2 linked regions of the Mus musculus genome follow. The protein of the gene in region 1 interacts with the protein of each later gene in a biochemical or structural test. Links are inferred from orthologs where the notes say so. Each region holds a gene or a part of one and is shown in the gene's direction. Other genes may lie near its edges. The genes, in order: Ehd1 and Snap29.

Region 1 (6,782 bases):
CAAGAGCTTCTTCCTAAAAATGGGGGCCCGTGACTTCTGCGCCTTATTGTGATGGATGGAAAGAAGGCTAATGAGATGAGGGTTGTCGGGACAGCTCAGTAGGACAACACACTTGTCAGGGCTGTTGATCCAGGGCCCACATGGTAGAAGGAGAGAGTTGTAGAGGAACAGCTATGAAGCATATGCATGCCTTGCCTGTTAACTAAAACGCCTATGGCCTATGGCTTAAGAAGGAAATAGAAGGTGGAACATATGGAGGAGAAAGAATTCTGAGAGAGGAGGAGGTGGGAGATTTGCCAGGAAGATGTAAGGAGCATGCTACCTGAGCACAGGTAACCAGCCAAGGCAGAATGTAGGTTACTATAAATGGGTTCTATTTAGCTATGATCTAGTCAGAGAAGAGCCTAGCTTATGGCCTAGATCTTTGTAAATACATTATTAGTCTGAGTCTTATTCCTGGGAGCATGGGGCTGGGAGGAAGAATCAAAGTCTAGCCTCAACAGGGAACTCCAGAAAGTTGTCTTCTGACTTGTATCATGGCACACTCAACCCCTCCACCATGGTACACTTGACTCCCCCATGGCACACTCACCCCCTCCACCATGGTACACTTGACTCCCCCATGGCACACTCATCCCCCTCCCCCCCGTGGCACACTCACCCCCTCCACCAAAGTACACTTGCCTCCCCATGGCACACTCACCCCCCCATAGCATACTCACCCCCCCATAGCACACTCATCCCACCCCCCCATAGCACACTCACACCCCCATAGCACACTCACCAAATGGCACACTCACAATACCCCCCCCACCACACAAAAAAGGAGAAACTCCAGATCAAAGAAGAAGCCTGGCCCAGAGCCTGCAGGCAGGCTGGGATTTGCTTGTCTCTGGCAATGATCTCTGAACCTTCCCACCTTGCCTTCTCTGGATCCCACTTGACTGAGATCCCTCAATATACACACGGCTCTTTCTTCCTGTGAGATCCCACTGTTTTCTCCCCGCCTAACCCCACATAGGTGTCTAGCTCACAGGCTTCCAAATCAAAGTTTTCAAGTGGGATCCAAGGCTTTCAAGTTCCCATGATTTTCTGTTGGCTCTAGTGCTGTTGGGGATGGGCCCTACTGGCTTGTGCACGCTAAGCAAGTGCTTCTACCACTAAGCTATGAATTTAGCCTCATCGATAAATATTTTGTCTTTTTTTTTTTTTCTTTTAAGACAGCGTCTGTTGTCGAGGCTGGCCTCAAATCGATGGGTTCAAGTGATCCTCCAACCTTTCCAAACAGTTGAGACCACAACTGTGTGCTAAACAACTCCTCCGGTGCCTTTTAGACTTCTCCAATGGCCCTTAGATCCTCCTGCCACTTGGGTGACCTGATATTAGTTACCTAACAATCATAGTCCCCAAATCTCTGACATCACCCACTAGACACCAGCAGACACAGCCAAGGGGGCTTAGGTGTGGCCAGGTATGATGGTGGGGAACAGCTACCAACTGGAAACAGGTTGGGACTCAGAACGGAACAAGAGATGGTACTGGTGGTGTCCCTGACAGGAAAGCGGAAATTTTGGGGCTTTTAATTTCCCCTAAGTTCCCACAACATTTCATTGTTGCTCAACACTGCCCCTCTTCCTTACAAAGGGTATTTCCGATTTCACTTCCTCCAAACTCATCTAGCCAGAAAGCTGCAACTTTTTACCCCATTCCGCAGCTGGCACCGCCTTGGTGAAAACTCCCCGCTAGGTCACGTCAATTGTTTCCATTGCCGTGTCCCTCTCCCATCAGTCTGAGTGGAGTCCCAGCGCACTCTTCCTCCTTCCTTACCGATATTCCTCTTCCCGGTGTCCTGTACTCCCTCGGCTTTCCCTATTCCCGCTGTCCTGTCCCTCTCCAGAGTCGCTAAAAGACCAAAGGGTGAGGCTCCCGATGCTTTTGGGAGTTCCTAGCCAGCGGAAACACTGCAGTTGGGGAGCGCAGCTGAAGTACTTGGGGGTGTCCGGAAGCCCACACGTGCTAGATGGTGCTCAGACTTAGTACATCTCGACGCCAGACTCTGGCACCCGCGACCGCCACACTTCCACGAGCCATCCCTCGAGGGGCGGAGCAAAACAGGTGCGGTTGCCAAGGCACCGCAGCCACGAGCTCGCGATATTTGAAATCAGCTAATGGGAAGCAGAAGAGGACGTGGCACGCGAATGGGGCGGGGCCTGGAGGGCTCTTCCCCCGCCTCCTCTCGGGCCAGCCTCGAGGCGGCGGCCAGCGTGCGGGAACGCCGGGCTCCGGCTTATTATAAAGGGGCGGCTCGACGAGGTTCGCGCGACCCTCGGCAGAGGGCGCTGTCGTGGTCCTCACGCCGGCCCTCGAGCCTGCGCCTGCGCGGTGCGGGCAGCGCCCCGCCCCCTGCCCCTCTGCCCTCCGCCGGCCGGCCGGCCCCTCCTCGGCCGCGCGCCCCAGTCCCGCTCAGCCACCGCTCCGTCCTGTAGCAGCCAGCCCCGTCTCCGGCATCATGTTCAGCTGGGTGAGCAAGGATGCCCGCCGCAAGAAGGAGCCGGAGCTCTTCCAGACGGTGGCCGAGGGGCTGCGGCAGCTGTACGCGCAGAAGCTGCTGCCGCTGGAGGAGCACTATCGCTTCCACGAGTTCCACTCGCCCGCGCTGGAGGACGCTGACTTCGACAACAAGCCGATGGTGCTCCTGGTCGGCCAGTACAGCACCGGCAAGACCACCTTCATCCGCCACCTGATCGAGCAGGACTTCCCGGGGATGCGCATCGGGCCGGAGCCCACCACCGACTCCTTCATCGCGGTCATGCACGGCCCCACCGAGGGCGTGGTGCCCGGCAACGCGCTCGTCGTGGACCCGCGGCGCCCCTTCCGCAAGCTCAACGCCTTCGGCAACGCCTTCCTCAACAGGTACCCACCCCTTGCCCCCCAGCGCGAGGATACCAAAGGCCTCCGGAGCCATTGCCCCCAGCCGGCCTTTGTCTCCGAGAGCCCCCGCCAGACCCTAGGCGACCACTCCCAGGGACACCGGCTTTGCTGCGTCCCACTAACTACCCGAGAGAAGTTAGAGACTAGGCATCGTCCACTCTTCTGGCTTCTGTCATTCCCAGAACCTTCCAGGTTTTCAGTTTAACTCTCACATCCTCCTGCAGACCCCAGACCTACTTCCCACAGAGCGGGGGGCTGCTGTGAGAAGATGAACCATTGCTGTCCCCCCTTTCTTGTTCCTCATTCTGGAGGCACCCAGCTCATTCTCATGAATCCCCCTCCTCCTCTGGGGTCCGTTTTTAAAGTGTGTGTCCTGGGAAACCTCGAGACTTAGATGTTCCTTTTGCTAGTGTGTCACTCTCTGCGTCACATCTCCAGGGACCAGTGGTTTTGTGTAGGAAGGGCGCGGAGGCTATGCTTTGGTCTGCTGATTTGGGGGCAGCCCCCTTTGAAGGCAGGGGATGAAGGAGTCCCAACACCCCTCCTAAAAGCAGCACTTACGTGAATGCCAAACCAGCCAGGAGTACAGGAGACAACCCTGTCTCAAACACAACAAAACAAAAAAAGCTTAAGTCAGTGTTGCCTCAGGAGACTTCAGGGACTTCAGGGGGTGGTAACACTGTGGCTCCTGAAATGACCAGACCCATAGTCTAGGATAGATTGGATAGACTTCGTGTGTCTCCTGGAGTCTCAGCTTAACCAGTTCCCGGTGAGTTAGAGTCAGCCCCTCAGGATGCTATGAATGAATCACAGTGGCCTGCCTGAGGAGCTCTTAACACCCAGGATCTTTAAGGGCATTGGGGCATCCCAGACTCCTCCCACAGGAGGTATGACAGGACTCACAGACCCTGCCCTCTCTGCTCCCTCTTTCAAGGAGTGACTCTACATGCCTTTCGACTTCTGCATTCTGCCTAGGGGAACAGCCTTGGAAAGAATGTGAATCCTGCTTTCCAGGTCTCCGCCCTGTGTGAGCACATTCCTCTGTAGACACTGTCCGGCCCAACAGGGCGGGCCAGCTTGTTCTAGAGCAAGCTTGCTGCCAGGCCTGCCTCCTTTCAAGGAGCTGATCTTTAACGTCCTTTTGTCCCTTCTAGGCAATTTCAGCCTATCTTGTTTTATGATAATGGTGTGTGCTTGACAGCCTGGGTTGTATACTATGCTCAAGTCCCCTTAGCCTGGAGCCTTTGCCTAAGGATGTTTGAGCTTTGCCGCCCCTGTAGGTAGGCCATTGGCTCAGATTGCAGTTGGTGGGAGCCTTTGGTCTTGAGAGAAGTTTGGCTGCTGGGCTAAGGAGTTCGTTCATGCTTTAGGTCTCTGCCTCAGGAGAGACTGGAAGACTTGCTGTTCCAACTGCTGCTGCCTTCCTCTGTCTTCACCTCACTGTGAGGGCAGACCTCTTGTGAAATGAGGAACTTGGCACCTTCTCAGTTTCCCACCTGTGGAAATTCAGAACTTAAAGGGCTAGAGGACCGCCCACACCATCCCAGTAGCCCCCAGCTCACTCAGTAACTCATGAATCCTAGGTCCTGCTGAACTGTCAAGGTTAATAAGGCTGTGTACCCTGTACACTCACTACTACCTCTGTCCTCCCAAAAGAAACAACTTAGGAGGTCTGGCCTGGGGTACAGGGATCCAAGAACTATACATCCATTTCCTTCTTGCCACCACCAATTCCAGAGGGTCTCTAAATGCTGGTGAAGTCCAAGACCGGAGCTGTGTCAGGATGTGCCTCTGGCCAGGGAGGGCACAACAAAGGGGGCTTTTCTCTGGCTGATACAGCTTTTCCTGGAACTCTTAAAGGGACCCATTGAGTCATGAACTTGATTTATTAGCCCCCCCCCCCCAGGGCTGCTCAGAGATAGTGAGAGGAACAAATGGAGACAGGCATAAAGCAATCCCAAAAGGGGTTTGTGAACGCCCCTGCTTGCTTAGCTGGACCCACCCACTAGTCCTAAGGACTCAACTCCCCATCCCTGTTCCTAGGGAGACATCCTTACAGCCTCTTGCCTTTCTTGTGGTCCCCTTACCGGGCCTTGCGGAGTAGTGGGTTCTCATGGACCTGCAGATGTGCCTATGGGACCTCTTTGTGTCTGTTACTTCTCAGCGCCAGCTCCACTTCCACTCTGGCTTTCTTTCACTCTCTCTCCATTGAGTAGAGGATTTCTTCCCAGGCAAGGGGAATTGAGGTGTGGTGTGCAGTGACTTACAGCACTGGGCTCTGCTACACTTGGACACAGTGCTTTTTTTCCCTTTGGCCTGCTGTCCCCGGCCCATGGGGAGACTCACCATCATAACTTGGGGTGTGGAGCCACAGGAGACACTCACTTACTTGCTCCCCACTGGGGAAAGCCCAGTTTTAAGCCTGTATCTGGCAGACCTTGCGTCTGTATTTTCTTTGCTCAGAGAGCTTTTTAAAGGAGCCCTTTCTCTGTCCACTAAAGAACCCCACCCTTTACATCAGCTGATAGCTGCTCTGAGCTGTTCTGCTAAACTCCTAGCTCAACATGGAACTCTGATATGCAGCTAAGCCCTTACCCAGGGTTCACTAATATCCCTCTGTTGGCTTTCTCTTCCTAGGCTGGTTTTGACTTTGAAAGAGTGGTGTGTCTGTACCCCTTCCACAGCGCTGACTACTGCTGGCTCATTGCAGCTTCAAGCAGCTGGCTCCAGCAGCAGGGACTGTGGGCATGCTCAGTGGGAAGGTGAAGACCTGAGTTCAGAGTTCCAGCACCCTTTAAATATTGTACATACTGGAACTGTTTTTGCAAGCCTGTAATCCCAGCACAGGGGTTGGAGTAGGGTAGCAAAAAGAAGAGATCCCGGTACACCCTGGGGCCCACCAGCCAGTGAGCCTAGCTGAATCCGTGGGAGGTTCTGTCTAAGTGAGGTAGAGGAAGACACTTGAGGCTGTTCTCTAGCCCCCGTGTACCTCTGCCCACACACAGAAAGAGACCACGCTTCTTTTAGTGTGGGGGAGTTTAGCTAGATGGTTGGAGTTTCTTTTTTATCGATGTTGTTATTATTTTGCTTTGTTTCATTTTTCGAGGGTCTCTACATAACCCTGGCTGTCCTGGAACTCAACTATGTAGACCTGGCCAGCCTCACAGAGATCGCCTGCCTCTGCCTCCCTAGTTCTGGGATTAAAGGCATGCGCCGTCATGCCCACCTTTGTTACTGGTTTCTTTTACATTTATTTATTCTGTGCAAGCATAGTTGCTGCAGCACTTATGGTCAGCGGATGGTGTGGAGCAGCCTTCTCCCTCCACCGTGTGGCTCTGAACATTGAACTGAGGTCATAGGGCTCCGTGGCGAGTGTCCTGCCCACTGAGCAGCATCTCCCTGGCCCACTGAAACAGGGTCATTCTGTGTAGACCATGCTGGCCTGGAACTTAATTAGCATTGATCCTCCTGCCTCTGCTTCCTAAGTGCTGGGACATTAGGTGTGCACCACCATACCCAGGTTAAAGTTTTAAGGTGGAATTGCAAGTTCTCAGTGTCAGGCGTCTGTCTTCCTTTAGAACTGAAGCACAATCCGAGCTCATATGGCTTTCTCTAACAAGTCAGCGTCTGGGAAGCTGAACTCTTGAACTCTGGGAGAAGAGGGGGACAGCGAGGGAAGGACTGTAGCTCTAAAGCTGGACACTTCTGATAGTGATTCCAGTTCATTTGTCCAGAGGGAGGAGGGGGAGAAAAGCCCTCCCTTGATACCTGGATTAGTGCCTGTCCCACCCTTATGTATCTCTGGCGTTGCTGTCCTGCAGGTTCATGTGTGCACAGCTGCCCAACCCAGT
Region 2 (6,222 bases), on another chromosome or scaffold:
TGACCCATTGAAAGGTCGAATGAGTCAAAATGACCTGGAATCCATGACACAGGGAGTCCAAAAGCAGGTCAGCTTAGCACCTCTGAGGATGAGTCTCACCAAAGCTGTATACACTGTAATATACAAATCTCAAAATAGATTTAAGTACCATCAAGCTATCTGCATGGATTGTGTAGGGTGCAGAGACTAGATAAGGATGAAATTCTGCTCCTGTTTGAACGTGTGAAAGAAAGCTGTCTTTTTTATGAGTTGATTTTATTAATAACCAATTATAGTGAGTCTTCATGCCATGTGAAGGATGGCACAATGAATCTTCACCTGTCCTGTTTGATTCTCTTGAATTTTTCTAGTTCTTCAGGGGTCTCCCTCTGTCATATCTGATCCATATAACTCTGGAAAGGATCTAGAGCCTACTCTCCTTCCCTGTCAACACAAATGCAGAGCCTTCCTCCCAGAATAGTATGTCCTTGAGCCAGTAACTGGAAATCATTAAACATTTAGCTTGACTTCTCTCCCAGAGGAATAATAATATAACCACAAAAAGCAAAATCACACCCATTTTGATAATTAAAACAATTCAAGGCAAATAAAGCAAACTAAACAAATGTATGAGCCTATTTCCAGGCTCTCTCTTTATATAATCCTCAAGGCATATAAATTCCTACTGTCTGGTCCTCTGCTTCTGTCTAAGTCTATTCTTAGACTTCTAATCTTTTGTGTCAGGAATATTGAACCCAGAATTCCCATGGAGCCCATTGCTTGTTGGAGGCAGCAGCCTTTCTCTGCCTTCCTCCCTTTTGACAATCGGGGAATCTAGTATCCATGAGCTGAGGCTCCCTTGAGTTTCTTTGTTTAAGGTTACCACACTAGAGCTACCACATGACTCACTCCTCTTGCTGAGAAACCAATTTTCCCCTCTTCTTAGAACTGTATCATTGTGAGTTTGTGATCACTCTGAGAATTTCATGATGGCCAGGGCTACCCAGAGGAACTCAAAGAAACAAAAACAAAAAAAATAAAACTTATGCCAGGTGTGGTGGCACACGCCTTTAATCCCAGCACTCAGGAGGCAGAGGCAGGCAGATTTCTGAGTTTGAGGCCAGCCTGGTCTACAAAGTGAGTCCCAGGACAGCCAGGGCTACACAGAGAAACCCTGTCTTGAAAAACCAACCAAATCAATCAACCAATCAATCAATCAATCAATCAATCAAACTTAGGTGTCAGCTTTCTATTTCCTGCTTGTGGTCCACAATATGAACCCTCAGCTCCCTGTTCCTGCCATCATTATCTTACTGCTATGTCTCCCCATCATGATGGACTCTTATTACTCTGGAACCATAAACCCAAATAAACTTTCTTCTATACGTTGAAAAAAAAGTGGGCTGGGGAGATAACTCCGCAGGGAAATGCACTGGCCACACCCTGGCACCACCATGGAGATACAGGAGCCATGCTGTGGAAGCAGCTCATATGTACAACCAGTTCCTATCATAGGGGGTGTCTTAGTGTTTTCCTGCTGTGAACAGACACTACAACCAAGGCAACTCTTATAAAGGACATTTAATTGGGGCTAGCTTATAGGTTCAGACGTTCAGTCCATTATTATCAAAGTGGAATCATGGCATTGTCCAGGCAGACATGGGACTGGAGAAGCTGATAGTTCACCTCCTGTTCCAAAGGCAGGTAGGAGAAGACTGCTTCTAGGCAGCTAGGATAGAAGTCTTAAAAGCCCATGCCCACGATGACACACCTACTCCAACAGGGCTACCTGCTAATAGTGCCACTCCTTGGACCAAGCATATACAAACCATCACAGGGGGCAAGCTTTTTATGTTTGACCAGTTTGACTGTACTGGCCCACTCAGGACTTTCAGCTTCCTGGGCTTTGTGAGGAAGGCTGCCAGAGCTCTGACAACCCCCCAGGCATTGTGCAGCCAGGGAAAGGAGACTAGATATCCTTTTTGTTTTGTTTTTTACAAAGGTATTAAAAGCATACATTAGATAATAGCTTCTACAATAAGTGATGCTGGCGACACTGAATAAACATCTGCCCAAAACTGAAATTAGATTCCCATCTCTCACTCTGCACATGATCCAAACTGGGTCAGAAACCTTGATTTCATATTAATATGCTGGAGCTGCTTGAGGAAAACATTCCTAAATACATCTAGGAGCAAGAGACTTTTCTTAGTAGGAAATGTAAGGCTGGGAAGATGGCTTAGTGGTAAGTGACTACCTCACAAGCAGGAGGCTAGGGAGATGGCTCAGCTGGGGAAGTGACTACCACTCCCTGGGTCAAGCATATTCAAACCACCACACTGCTAGTCAATAAGAGGGTTAAGAAACTGCCCAGATGGTTCTCAAAGGAAGAAATGCAGGTAGATAATAAATATGTTTTAAAGTTCTAACATCTTAGACAGGCATGGTACCTTTAATCCCAACACCAAGAGGCAGAAGCAGGTGGATCTCTGAATCTGAGACCAGTCTGGTCTACATAGCCTGTTTCTAGGATAGCCAAGGCTACACAGTGAGATCCTGTCTCGAAAGAATAAAACAAAACAAAAAAACTCACAAAAAACAAAACTGGACTATGATGACACATGCTATCTTAGTCAGGGTTTTATTCTTGTGACCAGACACCGTTGACCAAGGCAATGCTTAAAAAGGAAAACATTTAATTGGGGTTGGTTACAGTATCAAAAGTTTAGTTTATTATTAGCAGAGATACCTGGCCTACACAGAGAAACCCTGTCTCAAAAAACAAAAAGAGAGAAAAAGAAAGGAAGAAGGTATGTAAGGAGGGAGGGAGGAAGGAAGGGAAGGAGAGAGAAAGGAAAGAGAGAGGAAAAGAAGACAAAATACAATAAATGCTAGCAAAGATGGTAAGAGAAAGAAACACTATTCACTGCAGTGAGAATATAACTGGTGTAGCCATTATGAGAACAGTGTGGAAATCCTCACAAAATCTAGAAATAGTGATCTAGCTATGTGCTCCTGGGTGTATACCCAAAGGATTCCATGTTTGTTCCTGTTCTTTCCACAATACCAAAGGCATGGAATTGACCTAAATGTCTATAGATAGGTGAGTAGAAGCTGGAGAGATGGCTTAATAGTTGTACTGGCTAGTTGTGTGTCAACTTGACACAGCTGGAGTTATCACAGAGAAAGGAGCTTCAGTTGAGGAAATGCCTCCATGAGATCCAACTGTAAGGCATTTTCTCAATTAGTGATCAAGGGGGAAAGGCCCCTTGTGGGTGGGACCATCTCTGGGCTGGTAGTCTTGGGTTCTATAAGAGAGCAGGCTGAGCAAGCCAGGGGAGGCAAGCCAGTAAAGAACATCCCTCCATGGCCTCTGTATCAGCTCCTGCTTCCTGACCTGTTTGAGTTCCAGTCCTGACTTCCTTTGGTGATAAACAGCAGCATGGAAGTGTAAGCCGAATAAACCCTTTCCTCCCCAACTTGCATCTTGGTCATGATGTTTGTGCAGGAATAGAAACCCTGACTAAGACAATAGTTAAGAACACTTTTTGCTCTTGTGAAGGACCCAGGTTCAGTTCCCAGCCTACATGGTGGTTCATAGCCATCCATAACTCCAGTTCCAGGGTATCCAGTGCCCTTCTTTGATCTCCATAGGCAGCAGGCACATAAGCAGCACACATATATCCATGAAGGCAGAACACTCATATACATAAAATAAATCTTTAAAAAATGTTAATGGACAAATGAATCATGAAAATGTGGTACATATACATAGTGGCATTTTATTAAACCATATAGAAATTATGAAATTTGTAGGAAGATATATGAAACTAGAAAATATTCCATTAAGTACTGTAGTCTAGGCTCAGAAAGCATCTCACATGTTCTCTCATGCAAATCATGGTTTCCTCTCACGCTCTCTTGTGCTCTTGCTCAGTAATTTGGCTAGGATTTTTGTTTTGTTTTTTGTTTGTTTTTGGTTTTGAGACAGGGTTTTATAAGTAGTCCAAGATGTCCTAGAACTCATTATGTATACCAAACTCAGGCTGGCTTCAAACTCATAAAGATTTGCTTGCCTCTGCCTCCTGAGTGCTGGGGCTGAAGGTGTGCACCACCATGCTAGACTTGAATCCTACTTTCTAACTATAAAACATGTCTATTTAAGTAGGTGTAAGTGTGGGTAGAGTCTGTGAAGCTTGAAAAAGACCCCTAAGATGGGAGGGGTACTTTAAGATAGGTGCGGAGGATCCATGACCATGTGATACATAAGTGGAAGGAGGAATACAGGGCCAGGGTCTGCAGTGATAGAGCAGGGACAGAGGAGAGCAGGGGAGCAAACCAAACGTCAATGTGAAATGGCATAAAGGGGCCAGCGGGCTGGATCAATTTGTACTGTCGACCCTAAAAACTTATGTTTGATCCTCAGCACCTACATGGTAAAAGGAGTGACGTCACCTCCCTTAAGTCGTCCTCTGATCTCCACATGTAACCACCAGCCCTCAAACAGAATAATAAATACATGATTTTAAACTTTTTTTTTTTTTGAGGCAAGGTCTCTCTATGTAGTCCTGAAGGCCTAGAAGTTTGGGGGAGCTGGTGGGAGGAAATGTTATAAGGAAGCCCATTACTTTGTAATATTCTAATATTCTAGAAAAGGATGGAAGCAGCAGCAGCCCTGTGGGAAACCAGATAAAGCACTAGCCTGGCCTAGAAGTTACACCACCAACCTGACTCTTCCCCCAAAGTCCCCAAGTGCTGGGACTAAAAGCATGGGCTGCCATTCCTATCTAGATGATTTTTTGAGACTGAGTCTCACCTGGTCCAGGCCTCCCTCAAAGTCACTATATGACATTAAATTAATCCTCTTGCCTCTGCCTCTCAAGTTGTGGGGTTACAGGTTTGTGTGCCCAGGCCTGGTTGATGGAGTGCTAAGGATCCATCCAGGATTTTGTGCAAACCAGATAAGCACTCTACCAATGGAGCTACGTTCCCAGCTCCAGACTTAAATATACTATGATTTTTGGAAATAGTGGAAATGGCATAATGCTACTGTCTCTTGCCTTCTGCAGGAGCTGGTCCGGCAGCGAGGAGTCCTAGAACACACAGAGAAGATGGTAGACAAGATGGATCAGGATTTGAAGATGAGCCAGAAACATATCAACAGCATTAAGAGTGTGTTTGGAGGATTTATCAACTACTTCAAATCCAAACCAGTAGAGCCTCCACCTGAGCAGAATGGCAGCATCGTCTCCCAGCCCAACAGCAGGTGAGTGCAGCGTCTGCATTGGATACATAAAACAGTAGAGACAGGCTGTGTGAAGGAGCCAAGGCTTTCAGACCTTGTCAGTGCTGTTAAGGTATCCTGGAACCTTGTGGGTTACTCATGGGAAGGGACCTACTCATGAGAAATCTTATACCCAACTGTTCATCTAATTATACCCTTATACCCAACTGATCATCTAATTCATGAAAAATACTCCACTCTTAGAAAGTTTAATCACTAAAAATGTGGTTCTTTTTACAGACTGTTTCTTTATCAAGTCATTCCAAAAGCCAGACATAGTGGGGCCTGTGTGTAATCTCACCTTGAAGAGACCTAAGGCAGGTGGATAGCAAGTTCAAGGCAAAGTCAGGCAATTAAGCAAAGCCTCATTTTAGGAAAAAAAGCATACTGATAAATAAGCCAGATGTGACAGTACATACTTGTGATCAGAGCAACTTAGGAAGATAAGGCAAGAAGACTAGATCTTAACACCAGCCGTGAGACCTGTCTCACAAAACACAACAAAACAAAGAAATCTATATGGCTGCGCTGGTGATATGGCTCCCCAGGCAAATGTGCCTGCCATCAAACCTGGTGACATGGTTGGAAACCCAGAATAAACTCCCAACACCTTTTCCTCTTATCCCACACATATTTACACACACAAATTAAATGTAATCTAATGTATCGTACATACATACAAACATGTACACATGTAGGCTAGGAGTGTGGTATATTAGTAGAAGGCTTGCCTAAATGTGAAGACCTAGATTCCATTCCCACCAGCACACAAAAATTAATCATACATACATGTTACACACATACATATATGAGTATGTAAAAATCTCATTTACATCTTCTCTATATCTAACCTAATCTGTCCATTAATTTATACTTTAAAATTATAGATTGTTTACCTCAAAATTTTTGAGCAGAAATACAATAAAATCATACAAAGGAACCTGGCAGGCTTCAGCACC

What was found.
Region 2: the proteins of Ehd1 (region 1) and Snap29 form a complex in vitro, tested with the Homo sapiens proteins (2 studies listed by BioGRID). The link is inferred for Mus musculus from reciprocal best matches to the Homo sapiens genes EHD1 and SNAP29.

What each region holds. Positions count from the first base shown.
Region 1 is NC_000085.6:6,274,466-6,281,247, forward strand, and holds the start of Ehd1 (EH domain-containing protein 1), read left to right. Parts: upstream 1-2,430; 5' UTR 2,431-2,509; coding exon 2,510-2,913; intron 2,914-6,752; coding exon 6,753-6,782. UniProt on the Homo sapiens protein: ATP- and membrane-binding protein that controls membrane reorganization/tubulation upon ATP hydrolysis. In vitro causes vesiculation of endocytic membranes. Acts in early endocytic membrane fusion and membrane trafficking of recycling endosomes.
Region 2 is NC_000082.6:17,414,216-17,420,437, forward strand, and holds part of Snap29 (synaptosomal-associated protein 29), read left to right. Parts: intron 1-5,048; coding exon 5,049-5,245; intron 5,246-6,222. UniProt on the Homo sapiens protein: SNAREs, soluble N-ethylmaleimide-sensitive factor-attachment protein receptors, are essential proteins for fusion of cellular membranes.